Linked DNA regions of Xenopus tropicalis. The protein of the gene in region 1 binds, or shares a complex with, the protein of each later gene. Links are inferred from orthologs where the notes say so. Each region holds a gene or a part of one and is shown on either strand. Other genes may lie near its edges.

What was found. The genes of interacting proteins can lie anywhere in the genome.
Region 2: tmem67 (region 1) and tmem107 share a complex: the UniProt entries of both Homo sapiens proteins name them as parts of the tectonic-like complex. The link is inferred for Xenopus tropicalis from reciprocal best matches to the Homo sapiens genes TMEM67 and TMEM107.

The regions. Positions count from the first base shown.
Region 1 is NC_030682.2:127,745,950-127,751,871, reverse strand, and holds part of tmem67 (meckelin), read right to left. Parts: intron 5,722-5,922; coding exon 5,631-5,721; intron 5,119-5,630; coding exon 5,019-5,118; intron 4,585-5,018; coding exon 4,515-4,584; intron 3,959-4,514; coding exon 3,884-3,958; intron 3,795-3,883; coding exon 3,732-3,794; intron 3,060-3,731; coding exon 2,905-3,059; intron 2,819-2,904; coding exon 2,710-2,818; intron 2,458-2,709; coding exon 2,365-2,457; intron 2,105-2,364; coding exon 2,039-2,104; intron 1,373-2,038; coding exon 1,216-1,372; intron 567-1,215; coding exon 443-566; intron 1-442. UniProt on the Homo sapiens protein: Required for ciliary structure and function. Part of the tectonic-like complex which is required for tissue-specific ciliogenesis and may regulate ciliary membrane composition.
Region 2 is NC_030679.2:144,534,603-144,541,145, forward strand, and holds the start of tmem107 (transmembrane protein 107), read right to left. Parts: upstream 4,100-6,543; 5' UTR 3,993-4,099; exon of another isoform or gene 3,976-3,992; intron 1-3,975. UniProt on the Homo sapiens protein: Plays a role in cilia formation and embryonic patterning. Requires for normal Sonic hedgehog (Shh) signaling in the neural tube and acts in combination with GLI2 and GLI3 to pattern ventral and intermediate neuronal cell types.

The DNA of each region.
Region 1 (5,922 bases):
TACTTGCACCTGCTCGGCCTGGCACAAGGCATTTTGCCCAAGTGCTTCATTTATGAAGCTCTATGACGTTCAATAAGTGCTCAAGCACTAGTGCTGTACCAGTAGTAAATTACCTTTAGAGTGCTTGATTCAATAATGTACTTCCAACACTGGTGTCCTGATCTTGATTCTGAACTAAGCACTATCCAAAAGAGTCTGAATGTTAGTAGGCTAATTAATTGGCTCTGCAATAAGTAAGCAGTCTCTGTAAAGCCCTGCATAAACTTGTAAGCATTCTACAAATAAAGCATAATAACAATAATTCAAATAAATTAACCATGATACTAATACTTTTTTTTATACTCTCTCTTGTACTATCTTCAAGCTTATAAAAATGTAATGCGCAATAACATGACAAACTTGTGCTAAAATTTGTGCTATTGTGCTAAAATTTACACTCTACCTGATTGTGATTTTGCTAGCCACTCTAATGAGCCTTGGAGGATCGGCCAGAGAATTTTCTCGCCCACTAATAGTATCCACCAGGAAGATTCGGCGAGTCAAGAGCCAGTTGTTGATGTTGTCTCCTGTAACAAGACAAATTATGTTTAGTGAAGGGGAAGTAAAATTCTACGCCAATAGTGCCCCAACCTGAAGCCCTAGCTGAACTAAAAGTTCCACTACCCCCCCCAAGAGTGTCACTGTTTGGAATTCCTAGTGCTGTTTATCTGCCTACTACCGAAAGAGAAGTGGCAAAACACCAGCCTTTTGTAAAAATATGAGACACATTCAAATAAACAAAGTGCAAGGTTGACACAACAGTAATATTGGTGATAAAAATGTTTGCCAAGGGTTGTCAAATCAACACTATAACTGGCTGTAAGCTAGTATAATGTGGACTGCTAGGCTATCTTTGTGTCTATAACACTGGTGCATCACAGACATCCTGCAGTACCATCAGGACTGCATTGGCTTTAAGCAACACCATCCCATGGGACAGTAAGCCGCTAATTTTGGATCAAAAAATTATACCTTGTTAAATTACATATTATGTAATTTTGATACTGGTTAAAAAATACAACACATATTTTAAAATGTGCAGTTTAAACAGTGTAATTAGAAATAAGAAGTACACCATAAAAATCATGACAAAATCCCTTTAAAGGGATCCCATCTAATTGAACTGGTTTATGTATAATCACATACATCAATCATATAAATGTCCATAGAATGTACCTTGGTTAACAAACATTTCATGGTACTGGAGGTTCAGGTTCAGGACTGGCACAGGAAGGAGATTCTGCTGCTTCTCATTCCCTGGGTAGGCCAGATACACATCATAGAACACAGGCTCGGGGTGGTCACGCAGGAGCTTAGAAACACTAATTCTACACTGCAAAGGAATGATATGACCAAGTGAACACGGGTAGCAAAATATACTGTGTGTGTATGTGTAGTTATGTATCTCTTTGTGGGCACACAGGAACACACACACATAAATACACATACTGCCCAGTTGCAATGTACTGTACATGCAAGTATAAATAAGGATTAGGTGTCCAAACTGGTTTCCACTGAAAGCCATTGCTACAGTACATTCCAAAAGAAGATACATTGGTAAAGTGGCAGCTCCTTATTCTTTACTTTCAGCTGGATCCTAATTAGAAACATCTCACTAAACAAACAGGACATAAAACTGCTTAAAGGGGCACTATGCCTAAATACACTTTTTTTCAACATAAGCCAACTAAGGCCAATGACAGACGAGGATAAATCTCCTCTAGCGGCAGCGACTAATCTCGTTTAACTTAATGAAGTTATATATTTGCCTTTTCTTTCAATTATTGTTAATTATGAAGCACATATAGATTATTTTGTTTTTATGCATCGCTTCGGCTTTCCGAAGTCACAGAATATACAAGTTCCAATGAGTCGTGTGAGAGAAATTACATCACTAAGCACCGATTGTAGCTGATGACATCATTAAGTACTATTTATAAGAATATAATTTACAGGATATTTATTTGCTCTTGTATTTAGAGATATATTTAATGCTTACTTCTTGTTTATACGTTGTTCCAAAGCTGAAAGCAGCATCTATCCTGGCCACAATATCAGGACACAACTGCAAGGAAAAAAAAAAATTGTGCAGTGGGTGAGTTTGGTGTTTTGGGGTGGGAAATGTATCCCTTACTGAACAGTTCCCTTACATTTAAATGCAGAGCTGGGCTTAGTACCACAGAATAAGAATGCTGACATATCTATTGTACTGCTCTGTACTGATGATGATAACGTTCTTCTCTGAAGTGTCATGTCACCATCTACTACATTGCGGCCCCATATCTCTTGATCTATAAATTTTCATAAAAATAAAAATGTAAATACCTGCAGTAGTCCTCCAGCCAATGATTGCCATTTTATAAAATTCCCTCGAACGTCATACACAGCCGCTAGAAACTGCAGTTTGGTATTTTCTACCTAGGAAGGAAGCACATCAGATTCCTATTTGTATCTGTGGGCTGCCTGGGACTGTCACATACAGGGTATATTTCTACATTGCCACCATGATACAAAAAGTGCCACAGAACCAATGTTGAATCACTTATACATTTGTAATTCAAATGCTGCAAAAGAATCCATCCATGCATAAATATTAGAACAAGCTGTTCAGCTTTCCATTGTAATGGGCCAGTGTCTCACTCCAGCTCAATTTTGGTGGCCTTTTCATACCTCCTCACTTTCTTTAAAAGTATAGCTTGTGGGAACTGGAGAGGACACAAGAGTCCTGGAAGCCAGTCCAGGCTGGTCACCATAGAAGAGCCATGGCAGATTTGTTCGCCTGTAGAAGACATGATATTTACTCTTGTAAATTTTCCAGTGGGCAGTGCTTTTTTTTTTCTACCAACAAAAAGAAAACACACTTGCCAGTATGAAAGGGAATGGATAACTCCTAGACCTGCTGTGCTTGTAAATATGTACTGGAACAGACCGCAAGCGTCAGCACTGGAAATACTTGTAGAATGCATGTTCATGACACACATGTTCCCCAGAGCTTGGCATGATGTTTGATTACTGTACATCTATGGACGGAAGAGAAATAAAGGCACCATGTTACAAGCTCTTCTGCAATTCAGTTAAACTATATTTTGTAGAAGGTCTTACATCTAATGTAACACTTTGGGCAGATTTATCAACATTGATTTTTTTTTGTGTTTGTTTTTATTTTTGTGGTTTAAGAGGTTTTTGAAACCACAAATAAACTATTTTCCGCTAAACCCACAAATGTCTAGTCATTTATTAAAACACTGTATCACAAATAATTACGTTTGCCATTTGTTTGCATTTTCTAATTTGTATCCGTTTTCTAAAACCTAAGCTTTATGCTTAGCATGAGTTCAGCTACTAAGTAACTATCAACTTATGTATCAAATTGAAACAATTAAAAAAAGTCACTGATCTGACTCAATGAGCTTCTTCTGGGAAACAGGAGAAGGGTAAAAAAACCAAATTTGTCAAAACTCACATTTTCGAAAAAGCAAATGTATCTAGCAAGGGCCAAACATCACAAAGATAAAGGCTTGTTGCCAGACAGATCACTGCAGGGCCCCATTATAATCTGATAATTGCTTTGCACTAAAAAAAATGAAATCATCCTTATTTGGCCCACGATTTCACTGGGCAAATCAAGTAAAGATCCAATTGTTTGACAACCTTGCCAGCTTTAGAAAAAAAGCTATTTAAGAGAATCTTACCAGACAAGCTGCAGCCGATGCTTGCAAATGCGTGGCAAACCATTCTGATCGCAATATCAAACCCTTAAAGAAAAAAGGTTAGATACATTCTCAGGGTTTCCTACTTTATGTAAATTTGCAAGCAAACACATCAACACAATATAGGGTCTCACCAGTTGGCTGTAATGAACAGTCAGAAGAGCTTTGGACAGGATACTCCCCGCTGCATTATAGCATATGCCTCCAGTCTAGAAAATATGTAAGTAAATAAAAAAAATGTTGCATGAGCTTCTATTTTTCACTGGACACATTTTCAAATTTGAGCAAAATCCACAAAAAAATTACATCATAAGAAAGTTGTCACCTTCAATTGCCCACTGCTCTAAAGTCATATGACTTTAAAGAAGAACTAAACCCCCCAGGAACAAAAGCCCCCCTCAACTGCTCTCCATCGCCCCCCTTCACCTCTCCCTTCTCGCACAGCCTATTACTTTGAAAAGTTTGTGTAGCCAAGAGGAGGCAGAAGCTGAACTTGTCAATTAATTTTTACTGAAGTGTGTAAGGGATCAGATTCACTTCTCTCAGTCTGCAAAAAACTGCAGGCTAAGAGCAGCGGAGCAAATGCTCTGTGTGCTCTCAGCCTAACAGTCAGGCTTTGGTTTAGCCAGGCACTTGGGATTTAACAATATCTTGCAAAAGCGTTGAGGTTCTGCAAATTCTCAACAGAAACCTGAATTTGGCAAGTCCCTAATACATAGTGAGTGCTAGTTACAGTTGCGCTATGACCCTAAATGACTTTCTTACCATAATATTTGGCTGGTTACAGCTGCATGAGTTACTCCTGTTGATAACCGTGTGATGGCACCGTTCACACCTAGACATACAAAAAGAGCAAAATATTAGAGCAATGAAAACATACACAAACTCAGGTAGAATAACTGCGCAAACCACTGGTACAAACATACACAATGGCAATCTGTATATTCTGGCAAATGCTGTAACATTCTATAGACAGTCAATTTTTATTGAGACTGTTTTCAGCTGTTTGGGCATCACTTTACTTAACATGGCAGGGCCTAGAGCACAAAGAAATGTAAAAATATGCCTCTTAGAGCACATTTACACTGCACATGCTAGTACCCACAAGTAACTACAGTACCCACAAGTGCACTTTAATGGTTTCAAGTGATTACCATTAAAGTCAATTAAGGGTCAATTAACAGCATTTTGCCACTTACCAAGCTGGAAATCATACAGACAGCAAAACATTGTGACTTCTTGATAATAATATGGGTTAAGTAAACTCACCTGTTTCCTAGGGTGTTGGCAGCAGTGAAGGAAGGTTCAGTCCCATCGCAGTCAATGCATTCTGCTTCTAACAGCAAGGAGCCATTCACATCTCTTTCCACTAAAATACAAATTATGTGCTATATTACTCTGCCTGTGATTTTGTGACAAGTGCATTTTAACTGTCCATGTATGCCTCCATGTGAGGGACACAACATGCTAGCTGGAAAAGGAACGCTGGAACTGTTCACATCTTCTGGAAATGAACACTTTATCATTATTGGAAAGGGATTGCATAAACCTTGGCATGTAGCCACTGAATTAATCTTGACTGGTACATGGGGTATCTGTAGATGTGCAAGAATCTGCTTTTACAGCTCATCACTGGCTTTATATATCTCCATCGGAGAAAGACTGCACATTTGAATGTTTTTTCCATGAAAATAAGTTGTGTCATTATAGCTACTGTCAAGCAGTACAGTTGGATTCTGGAGCTGCATATGCATCTTTTTTATGGATGGAATTAGAGAACTTTACCTACAATTTTAGTCAACCAAACTCCTTAGCACAGGATTGGAGAAGAGCATGGATAAGTAGGCACCAGTTTATTAAAATGCAAAATATCCTACTTACCCAAAATGTTTCCTGGAGGACAGAGGCAATTCCCATTTGAGTTCAGCCCATTGGGGCATTTAATACAACTCCATCCATCTGCTGTTACACCCTATAATGATTTTAGTCAAAGAAGACAAAATCAAAACAGTTAGACACTTCTTAAGAGGGAAATGCTACCCTTTCTAGGGTTTCATATACTTTCCAGAAATGTTAAGTAAAATGTATTGGTATATATTCCTCCCAGGGAGACCTAATTATCTGCCTATTTCTCTGGGAGCATTGCTATTATTGGGGAGCTAAACCCTCTGAT
Region 2 (6,543 bases), on another chromosome or scaffold:
ATATACAGGCCAGTAACCCTCTCATATAATATATACAGGCTTCCCTGACTCCTATTACTGTATATACAGGCCGGCAACCCTCTCATATAATATATCCAGGCTTCCCTGACTCCTATTACTGTATATACAGGCCGGTAACCCTCTCATATAATATATCCAGGCTTCCCTAACTCCTATTACTGTATATACAGGCCAGGGACCCTCTCATATAATATATCCAGGCTTCCCTGACTCCTATTACTGTATATACAGGCCAGGGACCCTCTCATATAATATATCCAGGCTTCCCTGACTCCTATTACTGTATATACAGGCCGGCAACCCTCTCATATAATATATACAGGCTTCCCTGACTCCTATTACTGTATATACAGGCCGGCAACCCTCTCATATAATATATCCAGGCTTCCCTGACTCCTATTACTGTATATACAGGCCAGGGACCCTCTCATATAATATATCCAGGCTTCCCTGACTCCTATTACTGTATATACAGGCCGGTAACCCTCTCATATAATATATCCAGGCTTCCCTGACTCCTATTACTGTATATACAGGCCAGGGACCCTCTCATATAATATATACAGGCTTCCCTGACTCCTATTACTGTATATACAGGCCAGGGACCCTCTCATATAATATATACAGGCTTCCCTGACTCCTATTACTGTATATACAGGCCGGTAACCCTCTCATATAATATATACAGGCTTCCCTGACTCCTATTACTGTATATACAGGCCAGGGACCCTCTCATATAATATATCCAGGCTTCCCTGACTCCTATTACTGTATATACAGGCCGGTAACCCTCTCATATAATATATACAGGCTTCCCTGACTCCTATTACTGTATATACAGGCCGGTAACCCTCTCATATAATATATACAGGCTTCCCTGACTCCTATTACTGTATATACAGGCCAGGGACCCTCTCATATAATATATACAGGCTTCCCTGACTCCTATTACTGTATATACAGGCCAGGGACCCTCTCATATAATATATACAGGCTTCCCTGACTCCTATTACTGTATATACAGGCCAGGGACCCTCTCATATAATATATCCAGGCTTCCCTGACTCCTATTACTGTATATACAGGCCGGTAACCCTCTCATATAATATATCCAGGCTTCCCTGACTCCTATTACTGTATATACAGGCCAGGGACCCTCTCATATAATATATACAGGCTTCCCTGACTCCTATTACTGTATATACAGGCCAGGGACCCTCTCATATAATATATACAGGCTTCCCTGACTCCTATTACTGTATATACAGGCCGGTAACCCTCTCATATAATATATACAGGCTTCCCTGACTCCTATTACTGTATATACAGGCCAGGGACCCTCTCATATAATATATCCAGGCTTCCCTGACTCCTATTACTGTATATACAGGCCGGTAACCCTCTCATATAATATATACAGGCTTCCCTGACTCCTATTACTGTAAATACAGGCCAGGGACCCTCTCATATAATATATACAGGCTTCCCTGACCCCTATTACTGTATATACAGGCCGGCAACCCTCTCATATAATATATACAGGCTTCCCTGACTCCTATTACTGTATATACAGGCCAGGGACCCTCTCATATAATATATACAGGCTTCCCTGACTCCTATTACTGTATATACAGGCCGGTAACCCTCTCATATAATATATCCAGGCTTCCCTGACTCCTATTACTGTATATACAGGCCGGCAACCCTCTCTTATAATATATACAGGCTTCCCTGACTCCTATTACTGTATATACAGGCCGGTAACCCTCTCATATAATATATACAGGCTTCCCTGACTCCTATTACTGTATATACAGGCCGGCAACCTTCTCATATAATATATACAGGCTTCCCTGACTCCTATTACTGTATATACAGGCCGGTAACCCTCTCATATAATATATACAGGCTTCCCTGACTCCTATTACTGTATATACAGGCCGGTAACCCTCTCATATAATATATCCAGGCTTCCCTGACTCCTATTACTGTATATACAGGCCGGCAACCCTCTCATATAATATATCCAGGCTTCCCTGACTCCTATTACAGTATATACAGGCCGGCAACCCTCTCATATAATATATACAGGCTTCCCTGACTCCTATTACTGTATATACAGGCGGGTAACCCTCTCATATAATATATACAGGCTTCCCTGACTCCTATTACTGTATATACAGGCCGGCAACCCTCTCATATAATATATCCAGGCTTCCCTGACTCCTATTACTGTATATACAGGCCGGTAACCCTCTCATATAATATATACAGGCTTCCCTGACTCCTATTACTGTATATACATGCCGGCAACCCTCTCATATAATATATACAGGCTTCCCTGACCCCTATTACTGTATATACAGGCCGGCAACCCTCTCATATAATATATACAGGCTTCCCTGACTCCTATTACTGTATATACAGGCCAGGGACCCTCTCATATAATATATACAGGCTTCCCTGACTCCTATTACTGTATATACAGGCCGGTAACCCTCTCATATAATATATACAGGCTTCCCTGACTCCTATTACTGTATATACATGCCGGCAACCCTCTCATATAATATATACAGGCTTCCCTGACCCCTATTACTGTATATACAGGCCGGCAACCCTCTCATATAATATATACAGGCTTCCCTGACTCCTATTACTGTATATACAGGCCAGGGACCCTCTCATATAATATATACAGGCTTCCCTGACTCCTATTACTGTATATACAGGCCGGTAACCCTCTCATATAATATATCCAGGCTTCCCTGACTCCTATTACTGTATATACAGGCCGGCAACCCTCTCATATAATATATACAGGCTTCCCTGACTCCTATTACTGTATATACAGGCCGGTAACCCTCTCATATAATATATACAGGCTTCCCTGACTCCTATTACTGTATATACAGGCCGGCAACCCTCTCATATAATATATACAGGCTTCCCTGACTCCTATTACTGTATATACAGGCCGGTAACCCTCTCATATAATATATACAGGCTTCCCTGACTCCTATTACTGTATATACAGGCCGGTAACCCTCTCATATAATATATACAGGCTTCCCTGACTCCTATTACTGTATATACAGGCCGGTAACCCTCTCATATAATATATCCAGGCTTCCCTGACTCCTATTACTGTATATACAGGCCGGTAACCCTCTCATATAATATATCCAGGCTTCCCTGACTCCTATTACTGTATATACAGGCCGGCAACCCTCTCATATAATATATCCAGGCTTCCCTGACTCCTATTACAGTATATACAGGCCGGCAACCCTCTCATATAATATATACAGGCTTCCCTGACTCCTATTACTGTATATACAGGCGGGTAACCCTCTCATATAATATATACAGGCTTCCCTGACTCCTATTACTGTATATACAGGCCGGCAACCCTCTCATATAATATATACAGGCTTCCCTGACTCCTATTACTGTATATACAGGCCGGTAACCCTCTCATATAATATATACAGGCTTCCCTGACTCCTATTACTGTATATACATGCCGGCAACCCTCTCATATAATATATACAGGCTTCCCTGACCCCTATTACTGTATATACAGGCCGGCAACCCTCTCATATAATATATACAGGCTTCCCTGACTCCTATTACTGTATATACATGCCGGCAACCCTCTCATATAATATATACAGGCTTCCCTGACTCCTATTACTGTATATACATGCCGGCAACCCTCTCATATAATATATACAGGCTTCCCTGACTCCTATTACTGTATATACAGGCCGGCAACCCTCTCATATAATATATACAGGCTTCCCTGACTCCTATTACTGTATATACAGGCCGGCAACCCTCTCATATAATATATACAGACTTTTATAGCTACTTATACTGTATAAATTAACCATTAAATATCTCACATACAAAGTATTCCCCGGGCAGAGACCAGTTAAACCAGTAACTTACTGGAACAAAACCCTTACCCGTTCCAATCTCCGAGCCGAAAACCCGCCGCTTACCGTTGCCTAGCAACCCCTCAGCGTCCTAACCAAAACGCGCAGGATTCAGGAGATTCTGACCATTCACCTACTGAGCCCCGGTCACATGGGGCAGAAGGCAAGTCCGCCATTATTGTAGCTGGAAGTTTTAGCGCTTTGTCGTAAAAGCGACGACACATCCCTGATTATGAAACCTGTCCCAAACTAACATATATATAGATGCAAAGCCTCCACAATGGCGGCTAATCGAAAAGAAGTTACAGTTCGAGCGAAAATATATCAAGCCATAGATGCAGGGGGGAAAATAAAAAGCTGAGTTGGCAGCGGTGGGATTCGAACCCACGCCTCCAGAGAGACTGGAGCCTAAATCCAGCGCCTTAGACCGCTCGGCCACGCTACCTTCTTACTACAGGCCTGATGCACCCTGGGAATATTACTGGGTATAATGACGTCATTATGACTTTACTTCCCACAGTGAGGGAATTAACTGCATGGGAAGTTACACAAGGGATTTATATATCCTCTATACAGGTGGTTTAGGCTCCTGAAACATTGTTTCTTTCCCACCCTCCAGGGGGCGGGGGAAGCAGCACCTCCCTGTGCATACCCCTTGACTATCTGGGCCCACCAGGGTCGGACTGGGCCGCTGGGACACCGGGACAAATCCCGGCGCTCCCCCTGCCCGACCGTTCCTCCCCTGAGGCGTTAAATTTACGGGAGCTCAGGGGAGGACGTCGGGTGGGGGACCCTGTGGGGGGTTGGGGGGGTTAGGGCGGGAGCCCTGGTGTGCCCTGCACCCCCCCCAGTCCGACCCTGGGGCCCACAGATATAGCTATCTTTCACTCCCCAAAATGTGTAGGGCTGTATAACAAACTGCCTAGATCTTCTAATCAGGCATTGGCCCATCTGGAACGCTCTCCAAAGAGTGGCCCCTAAGCCAAATGGATGGAGAGCATACAAGTAAAGGTGGCCATACACGTAGCTGAAGTTCAGGGCTGAATCATCAGATAAGGAGGTAGAAACAATAGAAATTCTACCTCCTTCAGCCCTGAACGTAGATTTTGCTCGGGCGCCTTCAATGGCGCCTTCAACCGATATCCACAGCCTCTGGGATATTGGTCGCCTCTACAAGTCACCATACACGCACCGAATATTGTACGAGATGATAACATCTGTGCGTGTATGGCTGGCTTACGAATGCCTTTCTATTGTTCCGATTACTGATTGATCAGAACAGCAGGAGGGAGAGAGAAGGTGTAGTAAGGTAAACTGATAGATCGATAGAAAGAGATACTGGGGAGAAGCAGATGAAGGTCTCTCAGGGAAGAAGCGTTGGATCAAGGAGATCGTGGGAGAAGCAGATGAAGGTCTCTCTGGGAAGAAGCAGTTGGATCAAGGAGATGGTGGGAAGAAGCAGATGAAGGTCTCTCAGGGAAGAAGCAGTTGGATCAAGGAGATGGTGGGGAGAAGCAGATGAAGGTCTCTCAGGGAAGAAGCAGTTGGATCAAGGAGATGGTAGGAAGAAGGAGATGAAGGTCTCTCAGGGAAGAAGCAGTTGGATCAAGGAGATGGTGGGAAGAAGGAGATCAAGGTCTCTCGGGGAAGAAGCAGTTGGATCAAGGAGATGGTGGGAAGAAGGAGATGAAGGTCTCTCAGGGAAGAAGCAGTTGGATCAAGGAGATGGTGGGAAGAAGGAGATGAAGGTCTCTCAGGGAAGAAGCAGTTGGATCAAGGAGATGGTGGGAAGAAGGAGATGAAGGTCTCTCAGGGAAGAAGCAGTTGGATCAAGGAGATGGTGGGAAGAAGGAGATGAAGGTCTCTCAGGGAAGAAGCAGTTGGATCAAGGAGATGGTGGGGAGAAGCAGATGGAGATCAGATGGCAGATGAAGATCTTCTTCTTGAGGAGGTTTTGATGGAAGAAGATTCTCCTATGAAGCAGTCAGGGGACAGAGTTATAAGGAGGAAGCTGTTGGAATAAGTTGATACTAAGTGTAAGCGGCAGGATGAGGAGCTTGAACTAGTGGAATGCAAATACTGAAACAGCAGCGCACTGGGAGGAAGGCAGTGAAAGAAAAACCAGCAGAGAAGTGCTTAGATCAGTACTAGGCCCCAGTGGGAAGTAGTAAGGAGAGTGTACTGGGGGGGGAGTAGCTGAATCAGTACTAGGCCCCAGTGGGAAGTAGTAAGGAGAGTGTACTGGGGGGGGGAGTAGCTGAATCAGTACTAGGCCCCAGTGGGAAGTAGTAAGGAGAGTGTACTGGGGGGGAGTAGCTGAATCAGTACTAGGCCCCAGTGGGAAGTAGTAAGGAGAGTGTACTGGGGGGGAGTAGTTGAAAGAGAGACCTCAGTGGAAAGTAGTAAGGGGAGAGTACTGGGGGGGGGGGAGGTTGGAAAAGAAACCTCTAAGAAGTAGAGAAGGGAGAGTACTGGGAGGGAAGTAGCTGAATCAGTACTAGGCCCCAGTGGGAAGTAGTAAGGTGAGAGTACTGGGGTAGGTGTAGTTGGATCAGTACTAGGCCTTAGTGGGAAGGGGGGA